Linked DNA regions of Bombyx mori. The main gene of each other region encodes a partner of the protein of the gene in region 6 in a complex. Links are inferred from orthologs where the notes say so. Each region holds a gene or a part of one and is shown on either strand. Other genes may lie near its edges. The genes, in order: general transcription factor IIH subunit 4; DNA-directed RNA polymerases I and III subunit RPAC1; DNA-directed RNA polymerase I subunit RPA2; general transcription factor IIE subunit 2; RNA polymerase I-specific transcription initiation factor RRN3; DNA-directed RNA polymerases I, II, and III subunit RPABC5; Znrd1.

What was found.
Region 1: DNA-directed RNA polymerases I, II, and III subunit RPABC5 (region 6) and general transcription factor IIH subunit 4 share a complex: the UniProt entries of both Homo sapiens proteins name them as parts of the TBP-based Pol II pre-initiation complex. The link is inferred for Bombyx mori from reciprocal best matches to the Homo sapiens genes POLR2L and GTF2H4.
Region 2: DNA-directed RNA polymerases I, II, and III subunit RPABC5 (region 6) and DNA-directed RNA polymerases I and III subunit RPAC1 share a complex: the UniProt entries of both Homo sapiens proteins name them as parts of the pol I pre-initiation complex. The link is inferred for Bombyx mori from reciprocal best matches to the Homo sapiens genes POLR2L and POLR1C.
Region 3: the proteins of DNA-directed RNA polymerases I, II, and III subunit RPABC5 (region 6) and DNA-directed RNA polymerase I subunit RPA2 are in contact, whole or in part, in a cryo-EM structure (PDB 7OBA), measured with the Homo sapiens proteins. The link is inferred for Bombyx mori from reciprocal best matches to the Homo sapiens genes POLR2L and POLR1B. Residues at the interface, in NP_066951.1 of Homo sapiens: Met1, Ile2, Pro4, Arg6, Cys7, Phe8, Thr9, Cys10, Gly11, Trp18, Tyr21, Leu22, Leu25, Gln26, Glu31, Gly32, Arg42, Tyr43, Cys44, Arg46, Arg47, Met48, Leu50, Ala51, His52, Val53, Asp54, Leu55, Glu57, Lys58; in NP_061887.2 of Homo sapiens: Leu16, Leu19, Thr20, Asp21, Pro22, Tyr24, Gly25, Pro27, Ile157, His160, Glu161, Glu162, Ala163, Phe698, Leu701, Thr702, Arg713, Gln715, Thr716, Pro717, Gln718, Ser719, Leu721, Asp733, Asn734, Pro736, Asn740, Ala741, Ile742, Asn760.
Region 4: DNA-directed RNA polymerases I, II, and III subunit RPABC5 (region 6) and general transcription factor IIE subunit 2 share a complex: the UniProt entries of both Homo sapiens proteins name them as parts of the TBP-based Pol II pre-initiation complex. The link is inferred for Bombyx mori from reciprocal best matches to the Homo sapiens genes POLR2L and GTF2E2.
Region 5: DNA-directed RNA polymerases I, II, and III subunit RPABC5 (region 6) and RNA polymerase I-specific transcription initiation factor RRN3 share a complex: the UniProt entries of both Homo sapiens proteins name them as parts of the pol I pre-initiation complex. The link is inferred for Bombyx mori from reciprocal best matches to the Homo sapiens genes POLR2L and RRN3.
Region 7: DNA-directed RNA polymerases I, II, and III subunit RPABC5 (region 6) and Znrd1 share a complex: the UniProt entries of both Homo sapiens proteins name them as parts of the pol I pre-initiation complex. The link is inferred for Bombyx mori from reciprocal best matches to the Homo sapiens genes POLR2L and POLR1H.

What each region holds. Positions count from the first base shown.
Region 1 is NC_085125.1:220,016-223,965, reverse strand, and holds the start of general transcription factor IIH subunit 4, read left to right. Parts: upstream 1-1,150; 5' UTR 1,151-1,311; coding exon 1,312-1,460; intron 1,461-1,770; coding exon 1,771-1,875; intron 1,876-3,950. UniProt on the Homo sapiens protein: Component of the general transcription and DNA repair factor IIH (TFIIH) core complex, which is involved in general and transcription-coupled nucleotide excision repair (NER) of damaged DNA and, when complexed to CAK, in RNA transcription by RNA polymerase II.
Region 2 is NC_085131.1:5,578,812-5,583,082, forward strand, and holds the start of DNA-directed RNA polymerases I and III subunit RPAC1, read left to right. Parts: upstream 1-1,471; 5' UTR 1,472-2,069; coding exon 2,070-2,123; intron 2,124-2,202; coding exon 2,203-2,503; intron 2,504-2,884; coding exon 2,885-3,004; intron 3,005-3,476; coding exon 3,477-3,659; intron 3,660-3,755; coding exon 3,756-3,983; intron 3,984-4,271. UniProt on the Homo sapiens protein: DNA-dependent RNA polymerase catalyzes the transcription of DNA into RNA using the four ribonucleoside triphosphates as substrates.
Region 3 is NC_085132.1:2,350,415-2,354,341, reverse strand, and holds the start of DNA-directed RNA polymerase I subunit RPA2, read right to left. Parts: upstream 2,801-3,927; 5' UTR 2,689-2,800; coding exon 2,602-2,688; intron 2,292-2,601; coding exon 1,962-2,291; intron 791-1,961; coding exon 698-790; intron 1-697. UniProt on the Homo sapiens protein: Catalytic core component of RNA polymerase I (Pol I), a DNA-dependent RNA polymerase which synthesizes ribosomal RNA precursors using the four ribonucleoside triphosphates as substrates.
Region 4 is NC_085118.1:15,267,097-15,271,046, forward strand, and holds the start of general transcription factor IIE subunit 2, read left to right. Parts: upstream 1-1,150; 5' UTR 1,151-1,294; coding exon 1,295-1,356; exon of another isoform or gene 1,357-1,360; intron 1,361-2,088; coding exon 2,089-2,193; intron 2,194-3,017; coding exon 3,018-3,180; intron 3,181-3,637; coding exon 3,638-3,747; intron 3,748-3,950. UniProt on the Homo sapiens protein: Recruits TFIIH to the initiation complex and stimulates the RNA polymerase II C-terminal domain kinase and DNA-dependent ATPase activities of TFIIH. Both TFIIH and TFIIE are required for promoter clearance by RNA polymerase.
Region 5 is NC_085116.1:3,278,874-3,283,113, reverse strand, and holds the start of RNA polymerase I-specific transcription initiation factor RRN3, read left to right. Parts: upstream 1-1,440; 5' UTR 1,441-2,008; coding exon 2,009-2,417; intron 2,418-3,341; coding exon 3,342-3,441; intron 3,442-4,240. Other genes in the region: Galpha12 (G protein alpha subunit), read right to left, coding at 1-482. UniProt on the Homo sapiens protein: Required for efficient transcription initiation by RNA polymerase I (Pol I). Required for the formation of the competent pre-initiation complex (PIC).
Region 6 is NC_085133.1:5,485,049-5,488,322, reverse strand, and holds DNA-directed RNA polymerases I, II, and III subunit RPABC5, read right to left. Parts: upstream 2,088-3,274; 5' UTR 1,811-2,087; coding exon 1,716-1,810; intron 676-1,715; coding exon 567-675; 3' UTR 501-566; downstream 1-500. UniProt on the Homo sapiens protein: DNA-dependent RNA polymerase catalyzes the transcription of DNA into RNA using the four ribonucleoside triphosphates as substrates.
Region 7 is NC_085112.1:11,752,624-11,755,441, forward strand, and holds Znrd1 (transcription-associated zinc ribbon protein), read left to right. Parts: upstream 1-1,176; 5' UTR 1,177-1,177; coding exon of another isoform or gene 1,178-1,182; coding exon 1,183-1,309; intron 1,310-1,533; coding exon 1,534-1,744; intron 1,745-2,002; coding exon 2,003-2,027; 3' UTR 2,028-2,318; downstream 2,319-2,818. UniProt on the Homo sapiens protein: Core component of RNA polymerase I (Pol I), a DNA-dependent RNA polymerase which synthesizes ribosomal RNA precursors using the four ribonucleoside triphosphates as substrates. Can mediate Pol I proofreading of the nascent RNA transcript.

The DNA.
Region 1 (3,950 bases), on a different chromosome or scaffold from region 6:
GTTTTATATAATTATCGGATCATATTAAAAAAAATACATCAATAAACAACTTTAAATCCATACGCATGAATAATCTACTGATTTAATAGGTAAAGGTAATAAATATTTCGATATATATATCTAACTTTTTCTCTAACATTTTTACGATGTTTCCCCGGCGCTTTGACGTATCCTTATTCAAACGAGATCTGAAGACAATTCTTAACACTTAGCAACTGCTTGGGCTCAGGCATTGCTGACTGCTGATATCTATGAGCGACGGTGATTACTTACCATCTGGTGGCCGTATATTCGCATGCCTACGATTACAACAATAAAAAATAATATCATTAACAACGCACTTTTTTACTTTTTGTTAGGAAGAAAGTTTTACTGGTGGCCCGTTCAGTTTCACCAGGACAGTGCGTGCGCGCATTCAGCCGGGTCTTTTTAACTGAGGTGGTGGAGGTAATAGAATGACTTTCGAAACACTATTTGGTTTGTATTATTGTCCTCTATCGACCGTACTTTCTGCACTTCTCGATGACTATGCAATCACAAAAATTACGGTTTTTACATTGTATCAAAACACGAGGTATAATTTAATTATATTAGGGCGCTCATTATTGATCTGACAAAACATTTCAGAACTAATAAGTGCCTAGGCCTAGCTCCACGACGCCCTTCACGAGGTCAAGGATCGTAGCAAATGGAGAACAATCGTATAAGAGAGATTGATGCAGCGGGGGAGTCACGACCCTCCTTTCAATGAGGAGAACGACTTGAGGAGGAGGAAGGGCCGAGGTATCATTTTAAAATCATATCAAGGCTTCGATCACAAAAAAATATACGCATTCGTAGTTTAAATATATATCTTTGAAGTAGGCGATCTGTAATTCAAATGCCAAATCTAAATACCAAATCTGTACCAAAGAGTTGAAAAATATGGTGGAAAAGGTGTTATCGGTTTTATGACTAAACAAAAATATTAAGCAACATTATTGATATTTTGACTTCATGTCTCGAGATACGTCGTGATGTATATACTGTCCGTAACCAGTAACCACTACGATCCGTAAGCTCATGTGGTGCGAGTTTCTGTAATTCGAACTAAATGGTAAGCCCTATGGTTATTTTACTTTTTCAATATGGCAATCAGATCTTAGAGGAAAGTAATCTGTCAACTGTCACGAAGTCATGAAATGTGGTTGTCAAATTTCAATTTGTTTTGGGTTGTTTTGAATTTGGATTACTTTGTTATTATAATCTGAAACTTATGAATTAAAGAGATTTAAGAACTAATTATTAGGTAGACAGCAGACAGCGAGAACGATGTCAGAGTCTTCTAAATCGAAGTCTTTAAATTTGAATCCTTCGCCTACACTACAATGCAAAGACCTTCACGAATATCTTAAGTCGCGGTCTCCGCAGTTTCTAGAGACTCTTTACAATTACCCCACTATATGTCTCGCTGTATATCGGTAAGTCGCTATTCATAACCTTACCTGTAAGGCAGTAAGACTGCTAGAGGTAATGCACGGAACGCATCCAAATATTCCTAAAACTGAGCTATTTCATACATAATAACTACTAATGACTCTCGTGTATATATGTCATACGCTCAAAAGCACAAAAAAATCAGTTGTTATCATTCACCAATGAATATACAATAAGAGGTACAGAGTGATTTACTGTTCAACTATTTAATTAATTTGTCTATGACTAGCTAAAAGATAATACTAGTAATCATGTTTTAATTGAATAAAACTATTGTATAATACTAAATTCCAGCGAATTACCAGAGCTAGCACGTCACTTCGTAATCCGCTTGCTGTTCGTTGAGCAGCCAGTCCCACAGGCAGTTGTCACATCCTGGGTCTCGCAAACATATGCCAAGTATGTACTTGTTATCACAATACACAGTAAAAGGTCTTAAAGTAAATGTTGATAACATCTATAGTTTGACTCAAACATGGCTAAACATGGTCCTACAAAATTATATGGATGTGTAGAAGAGTTGCGAGAATTAGAGCACTGTGGTATGTGAAGAATGTCAACCTTCACAAAATCTAAATTAAAAACAGACATGTATGTATCCAGTGGTTTTAGGCCTCGCAAGCATCCATCATCCTCCTCATCGAACTTGTTGATTATGACGAAGAGTTAGCCAAAGTAAGCCATAGACACAGCCTGCTGAATTTCTCACCGCATCTTCTCAGTAGGTCGCGACTCCCATCTGGTGATAGATTCTGTGAAGCACAGCTCTTCCTAGGGCCAATGCTACCAAATTGTCTGGATTTGAGCCCCTGAGTTCACTTAGCTGTCTGAGCGTAGCTGGAATATCCCAAACTAGCAGGGAATAGATAGGGAAAAAAATAACATTCTAATCGGTTACCCAACAGCAGTGCCATATTTAACTCAAATGTCAAAAGAGATTGTAGTGCTGATTTTCCTTTTCATAAGATATGGATTTTTTTGTGCAAAATGACAGTAACCAACCCTTGAAGCTGTTGAAGTTGTTGAATTAAAGAAGTGAATGCTGCCTTCCCCTACAAATTTGGGAGATAAAAAATAAATAATCATTCTGTAATGCTTTTTAACAATCTCTTGAAATTTGAGTTAAATGTGGCACTGCTGTTGGGTGACTGATTGTCAATGGTACATTGATATATGAATGTGATCCCATGGAGATATGTCTCTATACTACAACTAACCCCCTTCCAAACACCTTTTTTCAATAATGTGGCACTAAGTGTATCTTTTTCCTGGTAGACTCCATACTATTTTCATATTATCCAAATTTAACCTCAGCTACTTAATTGTATGTGGCAAAAAGTACTGTTTACTGCCACTTTTTGCAGCTTCTTTCCTATCACAAAAAGAATTAAAATCTGAGATCAAACCACACTTAATGATGAAGCAGTCAACATTGGTCAGTTTTTCATTTACAGCTTAGCTTATAATTATAAAAAAAAACAAAGGAATATGGAACCAATTTAAAAAAAAAATTAGATATGCTATTCATTGATATATTGAGTAGGACCACTGAAAACGATATCAGGAAAAAATAAACTATGTTTCGGATTCCTATAATTTTTTCCAAGAATGTAGACATTGGAAAATATCAACATAATATTATTGTTTTATTTCAAGGTCAAATCATAACATATTCGCAAATTATAGAAGACAGGGAGTGAATAAGTTTATCCTTTGATGGAAATAAAGCAATTCTGCAATCATTATGTAGGCTTAGGATAGAATACTCGTACTCTCAAATCGGATACGGTAGTAGCTATGCCCCCCCTCGTAGGCCCCTCAGGCCGACTCGCGGCGTTCGATGATGACGAAAAAGCAGAGCTGCTGGCCGATACATTGCAAACCCAGTGCACGCCCAGCACTCAATCCGTGGACCCTGTTCATGTAGAATTAGTACAGTGAGGTAGAACGCAGAGCCTCCTTGCCACCCTTGGATGCGTTACCACCCGTCACCCCGAAGTTAAAGACTTGATCAAAGACCTACGTCCTCGCAAAGCTCCCGGTTCCGACGGTATATCTAACCGCGTTATTAAACTTCTACCCATCCAACTCATCGTGATGTTGGCATCTATCTTCAATGCCGCTATGGCTAACTGTATCTTTCCCGCGGTGTGGAAAGAAGCGAACGTTATCGGCATACACAAACCCGGTAAACCAAAAAATAATCCGACGAGTTACCGCCCGATTAGCCTCCTCATGTCTCTGGGCAAACTGTATGAGCGTCTGCTCTACAAACGCCTCAGAGACTTCGTCTCATCAAAGGGCATTCTCATCGATGAACAATTCGGATTCCGTGCGAATCACTCATGCGTACAACAGGTGCACCGCCTCACGGAGCACATTCTCGTGGGACTTAACCGACCAAAACCGATCTACACGGGAGCCCTCTTCTTCGACGTCGCAAAAGCGTTCGACAAAGTCTGGCACAACGGTTT
Region 2 (4,271 bases), on a different chromosome or scaffold from region 6:
CGTTTCTTAAGTAAATAAAAAAATAATAATAATAATGATTTCTTTTTGTTTCCTTTTGTTGGAGTTTACTCCTTTAGAATCGATTTACATATATAGGCCCGGGGTATGAAAATTATGGGGACCAAAATCGTACTAGCATGTCACACGAAATGCGTTATGCGCCTGATTGGCTCCTGATTGCGTGATGCGTGCGCGCGCCAATCAGGAGCCAACGCGCGGCCGCGTTATCGCAGGTGACGCCGGGCTGCTGCGCCGGCAGTCCGCCACAAAGCCTCGTACTGATCGCGCGTTTCTCTCATTATTGTATTTTCATATATTTGTTAGTCGTTTGTTTTGTGTCTCGTTAATTTGTTAATAATCTGTAGTGTATCGTGTTGTCGTAATATAGAACTATTTCTCGTATTGTTTCGTTTAATTTTTTATATCCAGTAAACTCCAGTCGTGCGTCGGAGCGGACACACACACTTTTTTCATTTCTTTCTGTTTCGATTTACATAAAACAGACACGACTTCACTTACTGTAACAAAAATTAGGATTGTATGGTCTTTGATCCTTTTGCCCAGCGAGTTGTCAATTCAAACAAGTAAAAACCTCTATTTATTTTCCAATACGGTACGGTACCGTACCGTAAAATGGGGCGATTAGGGACAAATTCCAACTTTATGAGCAATTTTAAGGTAGTTGTTGATGTATATAATGCTATATCAGGATCAAAATGATTGAGTCTTGGGGGCATCTTTGTTGTCTAATTTAAAATTATGCAACTAGCATTCCAGTTTAAGCAAAAAATGCAAAAATAGGTGTAATCTCTATTTACCCGAAAATTGCGGTTAATTGGGATGTAATGAGAAATTTGCTAGGGTTGGCACTATTTTTATTTTTATATATAGTTTTAATTTATTTATTTATTTAGTTGCACCAACAAAGTGATCATCAATAAAAAAAAATGAAAAACTGACAAAAGTACATGGCAGACATCACCTCAATTATAGGTGCAATCGACAGTGCTGATATTTCTATCTGGGTTAAGAGATTAGGTGTGTCGGTTATTCCATGGATTAATCAGATGAATACCCCCACTCTGAACAAATATTAAATATTTTATTATGTATTACTTAGACATTTTTGTCCACCTTGAGATTTCATTGATCTTGTTACATGTCTCTGCAAAATCGACTTACTTATATTAAATTGCTTATCTATTTCAAATAAAGACTTATTCCCAATTTCGCTTCGAATAAACCAGATATTTACCAACAAATTCAAAAAATATTGTTATAACTACATAGACAACCCTACAAACCTGTACCTATTTATACTTAGGTCGTTTCCATTTCACGTATTCTCATCCCAATTGACCCCTTTTTCGTTGTTATTTGTACCTAAGACGTCCCCAATAACCCCAAAAACAACAGATTTTTACATGTATTTTTATTTAATCAAATACATTAAAAGCAATAACAACTGAGACTTACCTTTAATATATATGCTGGTTCAAACACTAAATAACGTTTATAAATCATAGTCGTCTTCTATTATTATCAAATAAATAAAAGAGAGCAAAGTTTCTAGCACTAAAATAATGACCACCACAGGAAGTTAATTTGAAACGCGATTTTTTATAAGTTAGCAGCTATTATCATGCATATTCAGAGTTGTTTTGTGAACTTTCAACATTCTACTATTAAACTACAAAAAATGGAAGATTTTGCAACGAATATAAAACTTATATTGAGCGTCGAAAGATTTTCCCGGTTTTTTCCCGATTCGCCTGTCAATCCCTAATCGCCCCATTTTACCGGTACCGTACCTATGTACCTACATAAGTACAAACTTACATTACTTACTACATAGTCAAAGTTTAAATTACCTACTAAAAATTACTTAAAATCACTACTTAAGTGTATAATCTATGATCACTACCTTACGTAAAATCATCGAAATATTTAATTTTGTCAATTATATCTGTATAAAAATATGCGACAAACTTTATATACAGTAAACGTTACTGTATACCTGTGAAATAAGATAAAACCTTATTTACATTAATTAGTAAAATATTGCAAAAATGCCTAAATTCGATGAAAAACCCCGAGTTTTTCTTGAAGAATTCCGTGTTAAGGTTCTCCTTTAAATTGCAAGACTTATTTACAACGATAAAAATGCACATGATCATAACCTAATAATTTTTGCCCGTACAGAATGCACCCGAAGATTACGGATTAGACGATGAAACATGGGACTTCAAAAAGTTTGTGAAGAAGTTTAAGATAGTTGTAGTACGAATGGACAATTTCGAAATGGAATTTGACTTGATTGGGATCCAGCCAGCATTTGCGAACGCATTCCGGAGACTCATGTTAAGTGAAGTTCCTAGTATGGCTATTGAAAAAGTAATGATCAAGAACAACACTTCTATAATACAGGATGAAGTTTTAGCACACAGATTAGGATTGATTCCTCTCAAAGCTGATCCAAGATTGTTTGAATATAAATCTGAAGGTTTGTGTACAAATTATTACAAAGCCGAGACCATATGTGGGCATTCGTTTTGGAAGATGATTGTTTTCTGTGAAATTGGTTGTCTAATTATTTTTTATTTATCAATTACGTAAACTAGTACACTAATAAAACCACAAATATTCATTTTTCTAGTATCCTAAAATTGACAATTTAGAGCTGGAATGCAAGATGTTATTAAATACTCACTTTTATACCTCAATAAACATTTATATCTCATAATCAGTAAAGTTTTCACAGCCTAAAGGATAAGATGCCTGGTCCATTTTTATTATTGTAACTATGATGAAATAAAAAAAGTTAACAGAAAATAAAAGAATTGTTTGAGCAGCTCTTGTAAATAATTTGAAATTTTATTTTCAGAAGACACGGAAGGAACAGAATTCAACACTTTAGAATTTTCACTAAAAGTAAAATGTACCAATAGCAAGTCACAACCAAAAGATTCATATAGAGCTGAAGATTTGTATGAAAATCATAGTAGTGAGTTTTCTGTATATCAATATAATAATGTGTAACAAACAGCCTATTAATGTTTTTAATATAACAGTAGATCGCAGATCAGCATATGGCCCTGGTATTAAGCTTGCTGCAGTGCATAGATATAGGTGATTCACTCACATTAAGATATGGGATTGAAGTTTCCATTCCATAGCAAAACAGCTATCCTTACAAACTGGATTCCTTTGCAGTAGAAATGGACAAGATAAATTATGACTACCAATACCAAACTTATAGAATGTTACTGCCATTTTCTGGTAAATTTTTTAGCCACCTGTAACAACACCATGGTAAGATATAGAGTGGTATTGTTGTATGCTGATAGGACAGAACACAGAGCTGATTTTTTGAACTATGGACTAATCTATGAAATTTATATTTATAGTTTTTTTATATAATGCTAGATGATTTTGTTATTCTTAATACTTAGTTAATTACAAATATGTTTATACAGTTTATTCATCCCATATGAAGTGGCATCCAATTGGCAACCAAGCTACAGTTTATAAAGAAGCTGATGTGGGTCCTGTACATAAGGATATTCTTATATCAAAAATGAGACCTGGCCATGAAATAGACCTTCAAATGATTGCCGTGAAGGGCATAGGAAAGGATCATGCAAAATTTTCACCTGTTGGTTAGTCCCTTCTTATGAATATTTTATAAAATGAGATAAGCTTATTTTAATTATTAAAAAAAATGGTTTAACTAACATATCCATTTTATTCTACAGCAACAGCTACATACAGATTGCTGCCAGAGGTAACACTGACTCGTGAAGTTTGTGACAGTGAAGCCACACTGTTGCAGAGTTGTTTCTCACCAGGTGTTATTGGTATTGACTCTAAAAACCGAGCATATGTGAAAGATGCAAGATATGATGCATGTAGTCGTAATGTTTATAGATATGACACAATCAAAGATTCAGCAATCCTAAGTAGAGTTCGGGATCATTTCATATGTAAGTAGCCATATGTAAATTAATGAAATCATAAAAATGCCACAAATAATTACATGTGCAACAGTTTTTTTGCTATCAATGCTGGTTACCTCAAGGGGGTCTAGCTTCACCTAACGTGTAGGTAAGCTTACAGGCTCAGTCTGGCGAATTTGCTAACACTAGCCCTAGCAAGGGCAGTGCTTCTCAGAATCTACCACTGGATCGGAATCGCGACCCAGTGAGATGATCTGGTGAGAAACTAAGTGGGCTGTGTCTAAGGTTTAATTTACAAACCCAAAAATCTAAAAA
Region 3 (3,927 bases), on a different chromosome or scaffold from region 6:
CGCTTTCTCTGTCCCTATATCTGTCTGTCCCTATATCTGTCTGTCCCTATATCTGTCTGTCCCTATGTATGCTTAAATCTTTAAAACTACACAACGGATTTTGATGTGTTTTTTTTTAATAGATAGAGTGATTGAAGAGGAAGGTTTATATATATAGTAACATCCATTAAATAGTGGAGAAATCAATAATAAATTACAGTTTCCGAAGCGAAGTGAGGGCGGGTCGCTAGTAAACTATATATTGTTTGTGAGATAGTCATCTGTTGCCATTTGAAAGGCTTTCATATTATTACTGAAATTTTATTAAGACTTACAATAGCAGTAACAATCTTCTCTAATGACTACTGAATATTATCATGAACTGTCAGCTTTGAGATGAAGAATTATTATTTCAGCAAAAGCTGCATGTTAATCGATAGCTTCTCCTCAGTCAGACACTCTCATTACAGTGGTTTTGACTGCAGTAACAGCATTGGGAATCTATTCATACAGTGGGTTTCTAGAATATTCTTTTTCGTCTTCTATCAGCCCAGAGATGTCCACTGTGGGACATAGGCCTCCTCCAAGCCTCTAAAAAATGATTGGTCCTGCGCTGATTCTTTTCAGAATCACTAACACATACTTAATTAATTATTAACATTTTGTGCAATAATTTTACTGAAAATATAGTTTCTTTGAAATGACGGTAGTTACAAACCTTTATTACAAAATATCCACCCCATTCATCAGCATGTTCATTTTTCTCAATCAGTTCTTCAGGTGATAAATCAGCCAAATGACACATTTTAGACTACAAATTTAAATAAAGCATTACTTTTAAACAATATTCAGAACTACACCCCACTTTCAGGTGACCATAAGCTCCTCTGTTACAAGGGTAATAAAAAAGAAGGTTAGAATAACAAAAGTTTTCTTTCTAAATTGATAGTCATCATAATAATTTCATTATGACTCCACCAAACTATCCTCTGTATTACACTATTAACAAATATAAAGATTCTTAATGTTTAAATTATAGGGTCTGTTTTCCTTATTTCAACTTTTCAAATAATAATTTCATAGAAATCATAGTATCAGGATCCCAGGCTGTGAATGATTAACATATAAATTGCTCTAAAAGTGCTTTAGGCAATGAATTGCTAACATATCATTTAGTGATTATTAGAATTTTTTTTTTTTTTTTTTTTTATTGCTTAGATGATTGGACGAGCTCACAGCCCACCTGGTGTTAAGTGGTTACTGGAGCCCATAGACATCCACAACGTAAATGCGCCACCCACCTTGAGATATAAGTTCTAAGGGTCTCAGTATAGTTACAACGGCTGCCCCACCCTTCAAACCGAAACGCATTACTGCTTCACGGCAGAAATAGGCAGGGCAGTGGTACCTACCCGCGCGGACTCACAAGAGGTCCTACCACCAGTTATTACGCAAATTATAATTTTGCGGGTTTGATTTTTATTACACGATGTTATTCCTTCACCGTGGAAGTCAATCGTGAACATTTGTTAAGTACGTATTTCATTTGAAAAATTAGTACCCGCCCGCGGGATTCGAACACCGTTGCATCGCTATATACGAATGCACCGGACGTCTTATCCTTTAGGCCACGATGACTATCTTTGTATGCTCAAGTGTCAGTCGAACCTTCCTCCTAAAACTTTATTTGATGACCAGAATTGTAAAACTAGTTTGTTAATATAACAGAATTAGGCTTTAAAGGTAACAGTGTCCAATTTATTTGCATTCCATATACATTAACATGAGTTTACAGCTGACATATTTTTTTCACTAGTATTATAATACCATTAATTACCATGAAGCAAAAAGTTTCTCAAATTCTCTAAAGTATTTTTCATTATACCCCTCAATGTGTTGATACACTGATAGCTAAAATTACAAATTTAAAGCAAAATTATTTAAATTGAAATTTCAAAGGAAAATTACCACAATGAACTCACCTTAATCATAATGGGTAAATAACCTAAGGACCTCTCAATGGTGACAGACCTTCCGTCAATGCACAGAGTGACTCTGATCTTTAACTCTCCCTTGTATGTAGCAGCTCTCTGCCGGCATTCTGTTGGGAGGACCACTTGAGATTTAACCCCTACTGTATCCATGGGAACATTGGGTTTAGCGAATGCTGCTTCATCGATTGTCACTTTGACCTTTTCACCACTAGGTAACTCAAATTCCGATGGCAATAGATCAGCTATAGCAAATTTCAGGCCATCGTCCAGCATATAATTGAATGAATCTATGTGAGGCGCTCCAAGACTTTGAAGGTACTGTAACGAGTGTATGATTTATTATTCTTAAAATGAAACAAGTTAAAAAAGGAAATTAGAAAAGAAAATAAAGTAGTGTGATGAATCAGTACACGAATTTTCTTTTTTATTCTTTATTAGAGCCATACACCTATTAGGTTAAGTCGACTGGTATACGAATTAAACTAATTATTTATGGCTTAGTACAAAAAGTTTTAAATCTTTAATAACAAACTTCTCGAAGACACGCCATCGCGATTACTTCGTTGATTTTCAAATTGCTTTTAAGGGCTTACAAGAAAAATAATAATGAGGTGTAAAGGTTATTTACCGGATTTGCTATTTTTGGCGGTTTTCTATAATCTGGGTGGCTTGTGTACGCCAATGATGGGTTTTGGGCTAGTTTTTTTGGATTCATGTTGATTTAATTACGTATTTAACTTTCATATTCTTAATTTACAGTAGGTTTTATTTATAAATAAACACAAATTGACCACATGTCGTAGCTGTCAAAGTGAAGTAGTGGTAGTTCTACTTTTCTAACTGAAAAAGCAAAAGTATCATACCATACAACCTATATTTTATGTTTTAAATATGAAAAATGATAATATGAAGTGAAATAAAACGAAATGAAATGAGATGAAACGAGATGAAACGAGATGAATCGAGATGAAACGATATGAAACGAGATGAAATGATATGGGATTAGATATATTGTCAGGAAAATGGTGATTATTTTACTAAGACTTTTTCAGTGGATTTATTGGAGGATCCCAAAAAGCTACGTTCAGCGGCTTTGTTTCATTTTCCTACATTTGTGCACTTTCAAAGATACTAAACAGTTAATAAACCACCGTTATTATATACACCTTTAAACCTGAAGATATTTTAAATAGATCAAATAAAACTGTTCACACAACTTCGCTCCTCGCGTTCCCACCAAAAAGTCCTATCATAATGAAATACTGTTGTTGAGATCTGGCATTAACGGCCTTAATCAAAAATTCAGAATTATATAATTTATCTCAAAATGTGGCCATTGATGAGAGTTTGACCATGTGAAAGGCTGACTTGTTATACCAGTTCGTCCGTAACAAGGCAGCGACAGTTGGGATAAAAACATATGAAGTGTGGCTGGATATATTGACTGGCTATTTGTGGTGGCTTGAATTACATGCAGGCTATGACACCTCGGCACCTTCAAAATGATCCAATTTCTGGGACAAGACTAGCTCTCGTGCTCAAACTTTTATATGGTCTTCAGCTTAGAGAGCACACAATATGGACGGACAATTTCTACAACTCTCCAGCATTGGCTGGAGAACTGAAGGTTGTGAGTGTGACTGTGAGTTTGGGGACACTGCGGACCAAAGCCAATTTGTACCCTACGAATTGGCGCGCCTTACAGAAAAGGACATCTTAGTCAAGTGTTGGGATGCACCTCGGGAGATGTGGATCTTATGGTGTGGAGGGATAAAAACCGCGTGGCGCTTATTTCGACATACCATGGTTTCGAATCTACCAGGTGTGGGGATACATTGAAGCCGACTGTCATGTAGTACTACAATCTTTGTATGGGCGGAATAGACCCCAATAACCAGCAGATTGCAATGTATAGGACTAGGGTGGTACAAAAAAAAATGTTTTTCCTGCTCAC
Region 4 (3,950 bases), on a different chromosome or scaffold from region 6:
CTTTGTAGCCGGTTGGATTGCTCGATTCGGAGTACCTGCTGTCATCACTACCGACCAGGGACGACAGTTCGAGTCGGACCTTTTCAGACGCCTTACTAATTTATGTGGTACTAAACGTATACGCACTACTAGTTACCACCCTTGTGCCAATGGGCTCGTGGAGCGCATGCATAGACAATTAAAGGCCTCTCTGATGTGTTATGATGATTCGTGGTTGAATGCATTACCTTTGGTCTTATTAGGAATGCGTTCGGCTTTTAAAGAAGATCTACAAGCAACAGTAGCGGAATTGCTTTACGGAGAAACATTAACGCTTCCAGGGGAACTGTTAGTACCTCCCGGTCCTTCTGGCTTCGAGGACCCGACGGATTTTGTCGTAAAGTTAAGACAGCGTATGTCTAAATTGCGTCCCACTCCATGTTCCTCACACACTAAACCATCACCTTTCATATTTAAAAATCTTTCCACCGCCTCTCATGTAATGCTCAGGGAGGATTCGGTTAGACGTTCAATGCAACCACCTTACTCTGGTCCTCATAGAGTTATATCTAGAGCCGAGGACGGAAAAACGTGGTCGATTGATGTAAAAGGGAAACAGGTGACGGTCAGTGTCGACAGAATTAAGCCAGCTTTCGTCGAGCATTCTTTAGTAGATCTCGTTCCAGCACCAGCACCGCGGGTTTCTGTGCCTCAACCAGCGCAACCGGATGCTACTAATGTCCCTTCATGTCCACTCGTGCCTTCGGCACCTCTAACTGCTACTCCTACGCATACACCTCAATATACCACCCGATCAGGTCGCAGAGTCCACTTCTCCAAACCTTTCGACCTATGATATTTTTTTCTCTTTTTCTGCGGATTCTCCTTCTCCGTAGGGGGGTGGTGTGGCGTTTTATTATGCGTAAGCCGGAACGCACGAGATGTGGGAAAAAGAATATAGTCTGTGACAATACCTTTTTACCGCCAAAATATGAAAAACAAAAATAATTTATAATGTGATAATAACCAATTTAATGTAATTACTTTATGCCGCTACAACAATAAAATTTATATTGTTCCAACTGTGGTGTTAATTACATAAAACACAACCAGGCGAAATAAAGAAGGGACTCTATATGAACTCCCTCACGTCATTTGTCAAAGATGGTCATATGTCACATGTCAAATTGCTCAAACCGGATTTTAAAGAAACAGGATTTGGAAGTGGAAAATAGACTACATTACAACAGCAATTAAACAAAATACTAATACAATTGATACGTACTTTTAGTGATTGTGTTTAAAAGACGAAAATATGGACCCGGCGCTCTTACGGGAACGGGAAGCGTTTAAAAAGAAGGCACTTGCGACCCCGAGGTCTGTTACATTATTTTTAACTAAACTATTCGCTAGTCCACAACAATGATTGGAGACATACTGGCATCCATCGCACACTTTCTCTGTCACTCACGTAGCCCATACAATTACTATCAATTCACTTCCTTGTGGCAATATTCATTACTGAGTCATTATATAAAGTTATGAATGGAAATATGTGTTTCGAAATACTAAATGAGTAGAAATGTGAACAAATCACTTGTGCAGAGAAAAGTAGAAGATTTAAATGTTAATAAGATATAATATCTTTCCTAATTTAATAGCAGCCAATATTCTAGATAAATATGATCAAGGCACAGGCCCTATTTTTTTAAAGATTATATTGACTGGCATGCCCTAGGTAAATTAGAATACAATGGAAAATGTTTCATTTAATTTAAAGTAATGAATTTTTTCAAAGAATCTGATCAAGCTGACAGCCCACATTATGTTAAGTGATTACCTGAGCCCCTAGATATAATGTGAATGTCACCAATTGTTTTGAAACATGATTTTTATCTAAAATGCTACTTCATCTTATAATCCATTTATGAAAACGTGTTAGAAATGTTTTGCCGTGGAAAAAATTATACAGGTCTATGGTATTTGAATACCAGCATAGTCACACTTGATAAAAGTACACTTTACATGAGCTATAGTTCAACCCATCGAAAGGTTACTGTCAAATTAGAACGAAACAAAATTAATAAAGTATTATTCTTTTCTCTTCAGCATTGAAAAAAAGAAAAGGGATGACTCTGAATTCAAAGATGACAGCAAAAAGAAATCGAAATCATCCAGCTCAGTCAGCTCCGGACCAAAGCTTGATGCTAGTAAGTAAGTAAAGGCTAGGGCAACATAATTAATAATTTAAAATATTCTGTTATCAAAATAACTATTGAATTTACATAGTTACTGTGTTCCGCATAAACAAATATGTGCATCATTTACTAATGCTATTTTCATTAATAAACTAGAAATCACATTTAGTTTTATCTTTTGACTAGGTCAAATTACTATATCAGCAATATCTATTCATGACATCAGTACCATTGCTTCCCATAATTTATTATGCTTTATAGGTAATTTTAATCGCCAATTCTATTAAATAATACTAATAAACTTTTTATAGCAATATCAACTTTTGAATAAAAAAAATTAGAAAAAGCCTTTGGAAAAAAAATTATGAAAAATAAAAAACACAGGATTTATTTGGAATTCGAAAATTTATATTATGATAGCCTTGATACAGGCTATATGTAGCGAGCTTTTTATTGTTAAAAAAATAATTTATCATTTAGTGTATTTGCTAAAATCTTATAAAATATATAAAAAAGAATTGATCATATTTAGTGCTACAATGGATAAAATATTGAGATAGAGCATATAGATACCAGTTCTTTCTCTGTTTGACAACTCTCCCTTTTATTTAATTTAGTAGCTATTAAAGAGCTTTTGTGTTATCAGAAAACAGTTCTAGATTTTTTTTTATATCACTAAGTAACGAAACAAAAGGGAAAATTTAATACTAAATTGAATCTAAACCTTGAGGTGTCAATGATTATGGTCGAATTTAGATCAATAAGCAAACACTAATAATATTATTTTTTGTTATATTATAATTATTGGTTAAATCTGTGATTGATCATCATCCTTTTCAGTTACAAGACTATGACTGGCAGCTCGTCCTATCGCTTTGGTGTGCTAGCGCGTATTGTACGGCATATGAGAGCAAGGCATCAAGATGGAGATGACCATCCACTGTCTTTAGATGAGATTTTAGATGAGACAAATCAATTGGATGTCGGAAATAAAATAAAACAGGTATCTTTTAATAAGTATTGAAATAATAAATAAATTACCTCAATAATAATTACAACAACACACACATTTTCTTATAGCTGATGATAAATGCAATTTTTATTTTATTACTAAGTCTAATGTGCTCACGAACCACCTGGTGTTAAGCAGTTACTGGAGTATATAGACATGAGTTCTAAATCTCACTTTTATATTGCTTATGCTTCAGTAAAGAAATAGGCAGTGTGGTTATATCTACCCCTGCATGCTCACAAGACACCCTATTAACACTAACTGTATCTACATAATGTATAAAAATAATCATGAGTAATTACTTTAGGAAAATGATGGCATTAATTACAGTATTATTATACCCCAGCACACAAGTACCACAACACCCAAATTGATTAAAATGCTTTTTATAAATAATATTCTATTTTAATTGATTTCTCTTTTATAACCTGCTGTAAACATTTTCAAGTGGCTACAAACAGAAGCCCTACAGAGCAATCCTAAAATCGAATGCTCTCCGGATGGAAAGTTTAACTTCAAACCGGTTTATAAAATAAAAGATAAAAAATCTTTACTGAGGTACGTATAATATTTTCATTATTTACATAATTCAAATGTAGTAACTAGAAAACGATTTAAAGATCATCACCTGACAAAAATCATATAAATAAAAAGTACTTGTTCAATTTGCATTTCATTTATTGTAGGCAGCGGTTTGGCTCTGCCCCTGGCATTGCTGAAGTCCATGGGCGACGGTAACTACTCACCATCAGGTGGGCCGT
Region 5 (4,240 bases), on a different chromosome or scaffold from region 6:
CTGTCATATGCCCTTTTTATGGCTCTGTCTAACCACAATGAGTGTATGTGCGGCGCGTAGTGCATGAAGAGTCGGCTGTCGAGCGACGCCGTGCTGTTGAAGTGCAGTGCTTGCTGGCCGATATCCAAATTCCGCGGATTCTCCCATGGTATCGCGAGTTTGTCTCTTGCGTCCACTAACACCTGTATGCCTTTGACAATGTTCTGATATATCACATGCTGGTACTCCCGCACGAGTTCCGGTTCGAATTTCACTTTGTGTATGATTCTCATCTGTTTGAGGAATGTTGACTTTCCGCTTTCACCCGCGCCGAGTAACAACAGCTTCACCTGCCGCCGCAAAGTTTGCTTATCTTTCTCGAGTATTCTGTCGATCTCTTTACTCCTATATCGTTGCTCTATCTCCTCCGGCGATAGCTTCAGACGCAGCCAACAAGTCAGAGCCTCTGTACAGCAGGTACATGACCACAAATCGTTGGCCATTTTGCATGATTATCAAGACAATTAAAAAAGGAAACAAATCAAATCACACTTTATTTGTACAGTTCATTATTTTAAAGTTTTCCAACACAACACACACACTGATAATGATAATACAAAATGAAGATTAAATCCGGAATTCCGAAATACACACGCATTCCACCCCTCCCAATTTCATTGAGAAATGAAAAGTCACAGATAAACGACAAACGTCAAAAATTCAAGTAGGTAGGTACCGTACATGCAGTCTAACATCAAATCACATTCGTAATCTGTAATGCAGACACAACATTCATCTCTACTGTATTCTCTTATATTCTTATTTATATATGTTGTATCTCTATTGAATTCAATAAGTATTGACAGACAAAATAAAGCGGAGTTTATATGAATAATCTAATATTTATAATACTATCAAAAAAATTCGATCGTTCGTACGTTCAATAGATTTGTAACTTTTTAACTCAGTGTTTCTACTTAGGGGAAAATAATAGACAAAGTTTAATTAATCTAAAATAGGAGTCGATTGGCCAGATCGGAGTAATTTTTTACCATGTGTATTATCTACGGAGTTTTTATACGAGTTTCATTCCTAAATTGGGAAAATAAAACTTTTCATTGCAATAATACAATTTTTTTTAAAACATTAAATCGATAAATCAGCTCAAGCTCAAACTGATGACATTAATTATTGAAGTCAGAACTAACTTATTTATAACATTAAAACTATACACAGAAAATAAGTGCTGTCGATAGTTTAATGACAAAACGCAAAAGGGCTCTCATCGAAATAGACAATAAATCTAAAAATAAAAAGTTTTAATAGAGACCAATACCTCAACTAATATGTGCAGTATTTAGACACTAACATGGTGGCAGCGCTTAATACGATTTTATTAGGCGTCTAATTCTTCAAGCCACAAAATTAATTATGCTTTCTTTCGAAAAAGACTTGGTTCGAGTCTTTCAAAAGAAAAGACTAACGTATAGTCATTTTATTCTTTGCCTTTTGAAGATAGAAAAATCAAACCAAAATGACAAATTTCGGCGTGTCAAATAGAAAGTCAAAAAGTTCCGCGCACGTTGCGCACGTGTTCATAAAAGGAACTGAGGTGAAGAATTAGGTTTAGGTGGTTTAATTTGAACGTACGTGTACATTTTCCGTTAATTCATCATAAATATTAATCAATAAAACATCAGCAACATTGTACACAATGTAAAACTTAGAGTTACCGTTAAGCTATGTCGAGAGAAGGTTATAGCCCAGAAAAGAAAGAAAGTGACAACAAGGCTGTTTTAGAGCGATTACAGTCTTATTTGAAAGACAAGAAAAACACTGACGTTTCCGACACGAGCGCCGGGTACAGCAAACCAAGTACGAGCTACGATCCGAACACAAATACTGTCCCGAACATAGAAGATAGTAGTAATATTTTACGCGAAGTACTGAACTACAAAAAAGCAGAATTGCTTCGGCAACCAGACGTAACAGAGTTTTTAAAGGCAATCACGAAAGACTTGAAGAAGTAATGGCGGTAGCGGCTAGGAAAAGCGTCGCGTCCTTGATGCAAAAAACTCTGGATCGCCAAGCGGCTTTAGCTCGTACTAGATTGAAATTCTCCGAAAAACAAATAGAACAGATACTTCTTAATTATGCTAAAACAGGAAACATTGGACCTTACTCGGAATTAGTCAGAGTTTTGAGAGATTACCCATTAAATGATGAGAATTTTCGGATTATTCTCGAAGATTGTCTCTCTTGCGTTCTGATTATGGGACAGGATTTCAAGCAGTTTGTAGAAGCAGTGTGCAATGTTGAGTGGGCTAGTAGGTGTGAAAAGTTAGTCAACCTTTTCAGCACCTTCATCATTAGCCTAGTCACTGCACATATTTACCATTGTCCGCAAGTGATGAGCTGTCTGGTTAAGGTTTTTAAAGGTAAGTTAGCAACACACAGTGGTAGTTCTAGTATACCTGGACAATGATAGCCACTTACGATTCATTGGTTTGTAGGAATTATGAAGATGTCATAAATTATGCTATTACATTATATTATTCTATAATTGTAATATTAAATATAAAATTGTTAAAAGACAAAGAAAATAGAAATGAACATATAAAATATATATTTATATGAACGAATAATCAGTAAATACTAATAAAAACATTGTGAAATATTGTGAAAGAATTTAACACATAAAAGTCAATACAAGTACTCTTTCAGAAATCTAGTAACATTTAAGATTTGAGATTTTCTTTTATTTCATATTCTTACTAATATAACTACTGAAATATTGTATTGTATAAAACTGAATTATATTATTATCATGCTATTAGTCCGTTACTTTTATTATAATGCTTAGATAGGTGGATGAGCTCACAGCCCACCTGGTGTTGAGTGTTCACTGAAGCTTATAGACATACAGAATGTTAATGCTACCACCCACCCTGAAACCTGAGTTCTAAGACTTAGTTTTTACAGTACATCAACTACCCCACCCTTCAATCAAAATACATTACTGCTTTACGACAGGAATAGGCAGGCAAGTGGTGGTACCTACCCACGCATGCTTACAAGTTTCTCTACTGATAGTAATTAAGGAAATTAAAACTTTTACGGGTTTGATTTTTATTACACAACTTCACTGTGGAAGTCATTTGTGAACATTAGTTAAGTAAGTAGTATTCCATCAGAAAAATTGTTACCAGCCTGCAGGATTCCAAACCAGCAGTCACAAGTTGAAGTATCCAAGATAATATTTAAAAAAAAATATTGCCTTTTTAGGCAGACTTACTTAATCTAATAATAATTTTCATAACATTAGTTAGAGATATATTTGATGATGACTATGATATTTTTAGCTAATGAAGAAAACTGGGATGACACTCCACCAACAGAGAAATTGAATAGCTGGTCTAACATTCATACAATCATAGGACAAATTATCGCAATAATGCCGATGTAAGTATTTTACGTAACTTTCTTTAAGGTTATGCTTCATATTACATTGTTTGTGGATGTTTATATCTATCTAACAATTTAAGTAATGTCAGGACTATTTTCTAATGAAGCGCCCTATATGTGTCACGATACATAAAAATTTATAAAATATTTACAGAAATCTTCAACAATTTGAATTAGAGTGGTTTGGGAATTTAATTATTTGAGTATGTGTATTGATTTAGCCCCAGTATTTACTCTTAAGTGAGTGGATATAGGCTAATATATCAAAATGCTTCATGAAGCATATTGATGATATATTTGACAACCTACAAAGGTTGGATGAGATATTTAATTGGTCAGATCTCATTATACTAAAACAGTTCCCTTTTTGGGAACTGTCTTCTGCAGCTAACTAAAAATGTTTGAATACCACAAGATCATCACATAGATGTTTAAAAAGTTTATGGGACCCACCATACTACTTACAAAACATTAGCTGATGAGATCATATTTGAGCCTTCTGTGACACACTCAAAAATTTTAATATAATACTTAATAATAAATGGGTCAATGAGAGACTGAAATTGTTCTCTTAAAATAACCAGGTGCACAGAGTTCTATCTGGCTTTATAAATGACTCTGGAAACTATGTTGTGTGATTTTGCACCTACATCAATCAATACATAGGCGGCACTGAAAATTTCGGGAATTAACGAAGTGACACAACATTACTATTTAAAAATGTATTTATTGCTTTTCGAAGTATTCTCCGCGAAATTTGACACATTTTTCCATACGATGGAACCAATCATTGAAG
Region 6 (3,274 bases):
TAATTGAAGTGTGTGACGAGCTGATAATGAGCAATAATGAAATGTGGATTGGCCGTAACAAGTAAAAAGCAATTAAAACAAGTCTCATAACAATAAAATTTTTGTAACTAGTCTTAACCTACTCTAGTTTTTTTTGGTACATGAAAAAATCACTCTTATTTAGTTTATATAGTTTCAAGGCTTTAACGATTCAGAATATTAATAAGCTGACAAAAACCTGCACCCACGCACTCGTATACAAACCTCAATTGATGCAGATTATAAAAGAAGCAAACAGCAGGTCATTTTTCAAATGTTAGAGCTTACAATAATTTTGGCTATTAAATATACAGTAGAGATAGAATTTCTTCACAAATAGACAGAAGGAACCAATGTCCTAGGCTTTGAGACTTTGACCAGTTAAAATAAATACTGTGTTAAACTTTCCATTGACAATGGGAGGCATGTAAATCAAGAGCCTTTGTGCGGTGATTAATATAGGTATGAAAGAAAAACTCTAATATCTTAAAAAATTTATGTCAATTATAGATTTTTATTTTTAATTGTGTTTTTTAAAAAATATTTCATTATTTTTCTAATGGGGAATAATTCAAGAGTTTTTCAATGAGATCCACGTGTCCGAGCAACATTCTTCTGCAGCAGTATCTTTTCAATCCAAGGACATCCAAAGCATCACTGAAAGTAAAAAAATACAATTAAATATTAACATTCACATAGTAAATCTACTGTATACAGTACGCTTAACTGACTTCGATGATTACCAGTAATCTATCACTATCAAGAGAATCTTATGCCTATAAACACATTAAAAAAGGTATAAGAATACTCAAAGCTAACAAGCATTAACAATCTTATTTCATTGCTGCAGTTGGTAGTAATGATTATATCAACTCGGGCCACTTTTTACATAGCTTACTTGTCTAGTAGGATATCATCTTACATTTATCACTTATATGCTTCCGTTTCCTCACACTCAAACTGGATATTGCAAAACAGTCCAGAGATTAATCTGGTGTCAAGATCTACCATCATTACCACCTCATTCCCGATCCTGCGGACAGAATGGAAAGCAGTCGACGTCGCCCTAAACACGTCATCTCGGATCCTCCTGATCCACTAACGGTGCTTTTAGGTACTTCAAGCACCGGTCACCGTTCTCGTCGAACCCGTCGCTTGCGACGAAGGGCTCGACGAGTAAATTAATTCTCAGACACAGCCCACTGAGTTTCTCGCCGGATCTTCTCAGTGGGTCGCGTTTCCGATCCGGTGGTAGATTCTGCGAAGCACGACTCTTGCTAGGGTTCGTGTTAGCAACATCGTCAGGTTTGAGCCCCGTGAGCTCACCTACTAAAGTTAAGGCTACGCTGAAATAGCCGCTAGGGCTATCAGCTTAGGTAGGAAAAAAAAAAAAAAAAAAAAAAAAAAAAAATTACCACCTTGTGACCTATGGATTATGATAACCACTTTAAGATAGGTGGGCTGTAAGTATGAGTTGGCAAATAAGAAAAACCCAAGTTAACAGGAATCACCTACATATTCCGTCATTTGAATTCATAAGAACATTAATATTGTTTCTGGGAGGAGCTGTTTTATCTTTCTTGCTGAATTTTTATCAAATAACTACATTATATTATGTATGTCAGTTATTTCCATTTTAAAGTTCTAGAATATTGGTAAGTATAAAAACCAGTTGCAAAACTTAAATTGTACAGTACCCTTCTGTGTAATCCGCCTGTAGCAGGCCTAAGTAAGCTTCCCATTTGTTTCCTATAACCTTCCCGCATGTGAAACATCGTACTGGAATAATCATTTTGTTTATTTCCTACAACCTAAAGTTGTGGTGAGGCACTGGGGTTATAAAGTATCAATGCTTTAACTATTTATTTGGTTTATAAAACGTATTTACTTTTAATAATAATAGAAGATATTTTAGTTACAAAGTATCATTAAATTTAATGAGAAAACACTGTAATTCTATTCTTTACAATTCACAATAATATTATTTTACTTCGAGATAAAAACTTTTTAGACTCGCAACGACAGTCATAGATTACATATTGTATTGTCTATGACTTATGATTAAAGATGACAGTGTCACAAGAAAATATGATATTTTTGTTTGTCGATTTCAATCGGCAAAAGGAATGTAGTCTATAGAACCAAATTTTAATGTTTTATTTTTAAAACATTTTAAAACATTGAATGAATGTTCATTTCATTTGAATGGTACATAATTATTTTTTAAATTTCCAAACTGACTTTTAGTGGTTGGATTTTAGAGAGTAAGATATGCTCCTTTTTAACGTTTGAGTGAAATTGATTGACGCATATTTGGAGCAGTCTACTTATTATTAGAATATTTTAATAAGTAATCAAGAAATTTTCTAAGCCAGTCTCTTAAAAAATGTGAAATGTATGGTTTTCTCTATTATTTCAGGTTAAAATGACTTTATCCCTGCAGCAACATATCAGTATTGATGACAGTCAAATGGTACGTAGCATTTCATTTGTGATCATCGGCAAATTTTCAATGTAAATAAATCAAGTTAAAACAACCATTCATTCCGTACATTAAGGCATGGGAGAGCATATCGAATTTGTGAAATCTCAAAAGTCCAAAGTTAATTATTTTATTTTGTAAATTTAATATTTCATCAGATCTACATGTGTAATGAGAGTGAATTGTGAACCGTTTGGAATATGTGAAAATGCAAAAGTTTGGGAAAATGAAAGACGAACGTCAGTCATAGCTTCTCGTATTCTTCCAAAATATGCATTAGGCTGTCAGTTGCTTAATAATAAGTTACTGCGATATTTATTTAATTTCATGTAATTCAAGTCCTATGATGTTGTTGTTGTTAAGTATATTTCATTTTCTCCTTCAGTGTTATCTGCTTCGTCTCAATATAGGAATCGACTCATTGCAATGCTGCGCTGCATAAAAATATGTTCTAAATACATTTCCAGCTGCTTTACTCCATTTTCTCATACTTGTGTACTATAACAAATGTTTTACGGTTAATAAACCATTATTTTAAGCTTTAAAGTCTGAAGAAACCCTAAATTAACTACAACGTACAATTTCCATTCGGTCTCATACAATTATTCAGTTTATTCGTTCCAGTTCACCTTTGACTGATGATTGGCTTCAGCTTAAATTACAAAACATTTTACTGTATGCGTCCCATTTCCTTTGCCTGTACTATATGAACGAATCAATAAAAATGATATTTTGACAATTGACATTAGATTATTAAAAGAAATACAACAAACA
Region 7 (2,818 bases), on a different chromosome or scaffold from region 6:
CCGGTTTGAAATCACAACGATTCTAAAGAAGTTTTCACTTCAAAAGACAGGCTGTCAGTTTGAGGGAAAAATGTCATGATATAAAAAAATGTGTTTTACGTTTTTAAAAGGTTCAAAGATAAAAATCAATTGATTGTTAATGTATACGATTTTAAGGTGCGTGTGGAATAAATAAATGCTTCCTATACTGCAGTTTGAGTTTAATCCGCAACGACGACAGTTGTCAACATATTTCCTAAATACCTACTAATCTATATATGAGAAACAATGAAGATGACTGATTTTAGAGATCCACTATTGAAGAATTGCGTTTATAATTTCGTTTATAGAGTGGAGTTAGTAATAGTGTAAAGAGCAAGAGCTAAAAATGAGCTGTAGTAGACTGTAGTGGTTATATCTACAGCTACTGGGAGCGTTCTGTAGTTCTGTAGGCATTGTCACAGACTGTGGTAGAGAGACAAAAAGTCCACCAAAACTAAAACGTAGAAGTGCAATCTTCATTATTTTAATTACAGCACGTCATTTCGTATCCTCCCGATCCACTAACGGTGCTTTTAAGCACTTCAAATCACCAGTCATCGTTCTCGTCGAAACCGTCGCTTGCGACAAAGGGCTCGGCGAGTAAATTAACCCACAGACACAACCCACTGAGTTTCTGGCCGGATCTTCTCAGTAGGTCGCGATTCCGATCCGCTGGTAGATTCAGAGAAGCACTGCTCTTGCTAGGGTTAGCGTTAGCAACGTCATCAGGTTTGAGTCCCGTGAGCTCACCTACTTGTTAGGTGACGCTAACATAGCCTCTCAAGGCTATGAGCTTAGGTAAGAAAAAGAAACAGTTACTGAACTTCATCTTTTCAAATTTTAGTTACAAGTGATCTAATACTATCAGTATGGGCTATGTTTCCTTTGTCAATTGTCAAACAGTTAAAAAAAATTGTACGTAAGTAATGAATTTATCATTATAGTAAAAAAAAAATAGGTTTTTGTATAGCAAATACTTAGGGTATGTATACACTAAAACTGTCTAAAACCCTTCACAAAAATATATAGTATGCTTCATATTGGTTTAAAAATATATTTTGGTTATGTTTAGTACTAATAGATAAAGATTTAAAATAACCTAATATTCTAAACAAAAATACACAACCCTTTTAGTGATAATTGTGTTTACTTTTAGAAATAATGTCCACTGAAAGCCCGTTATCAACTAGTACAGCGTTTTGTGCTCGCTGTGGGTCCATATTACCCTTGCTACAAGAGTTTGGCTCCGTGAAATGCTACACTTGTAAAGCACATTATGAGGCTGATAGTAAGTATATAGTTGCCAATGAAAAAATTACTTTCATATAAACGGGATACGATTTTTCAGCGTTATGCTTTTGTATAATTTTCGAATATTCACTATTAAATTTATAATAAATAAAAAAACTTTAGTGATACTTATGAAATCCAGAAAGAACCTGTTGTATTTGTTTTCGAAATATAAAATAAAAACTTAAAAAAATGTTTTATTCAGAAATTCTTTTTTTACAGATTATAGTAAAATGAAATTTCAATACACAATACATTTCAATACTATATCTGTGATCACAAATGAGAATATACTACATACTGATGGTCCTGAGGGTCCAGTTGTGGAGAGAAAATGCGCTAAATGCGGTTACGACAGAATGTCATATGCAACTCTACAGTTACGATCGGCCGATGAAGGACAAACAGTTTTCTACACATGTATAAAGTGCAAGTATGTAAATTACAATATTTATTTGTATTTCGATGAGCAAGTCATCAATATCTGTACTTGTATTAAATAAAATTGGACCCTACCACTAGCCTAAGACAGGAAAATAATTGCAACTTGTGGCCAAATTTCCTTGGTAATATAAAACTGGACATAATAATGATCTTGTAAGCAACTACTATCTCAAAAATAAAATTATTTCCTAATTTAAAAAAGAACACATCGTACAAGATAATATCGTAAAGTATTATTTATTTTCAGATACAAGGAAACTGAAAACTCCTAAAGGCTGCTTTATACTAGTTTTAAGGTTGTCAAAGGAAAACTCGGCAATAGAATCATTGTATCAGAATCACTTTATGCAAAAATCAGTTTTACTGATTGTTTTAAATTAGGTAAATTTAATAAGGATTAAAATTAATCACCATGTAACTGGTGCGTAATTTTAATTCCATTTCTTGGAATGATAACTTTTAAACTGTAAATTCTATACTGATTAATCTTAAAAACCATGTTTTAAAAATTACATGTAATAGAATCAAATCTGAATAATTGAAATTATAAACATTTGTCCAAATGTTTTTTTTATGCTGAGAAATACATTTCTATTTTTAAATAATAAGTTCAATGAAAGTTTCTTTTTCAAAAGGTTTTATTTCCATGTTTCTAAAACCATAGCAATATTGAAGAGTTTTATGCAACAAGTTTATTTGGATCTTAGTGTAGAAGATTTACATTTGACAATTTTTGATAAACTTATAATACACTACTCAGAAATAATTCTATGTAGAACAAGCTCGGCCATATTAGTTTCCTACAGTAAGCATAATATGCCTGTATAACAAAAGTACACACTGCTAATCTTCCATAGTAGAAGTCACTGGATTCTGTAATACATACATATTTATTAAGGAAAATTTTTACCTGCCTCCTAAGGCCTTATCCCTTGATACTAACACCAGCACAATCGCTTGATACTTGTAAACCGGCATCGTATCCTATAGACCACAACAACATCAAGTGGGCTGTGAGCTAGCGTAACCATACAATGAAGAAAAATAATCGTAGTATTGGCAA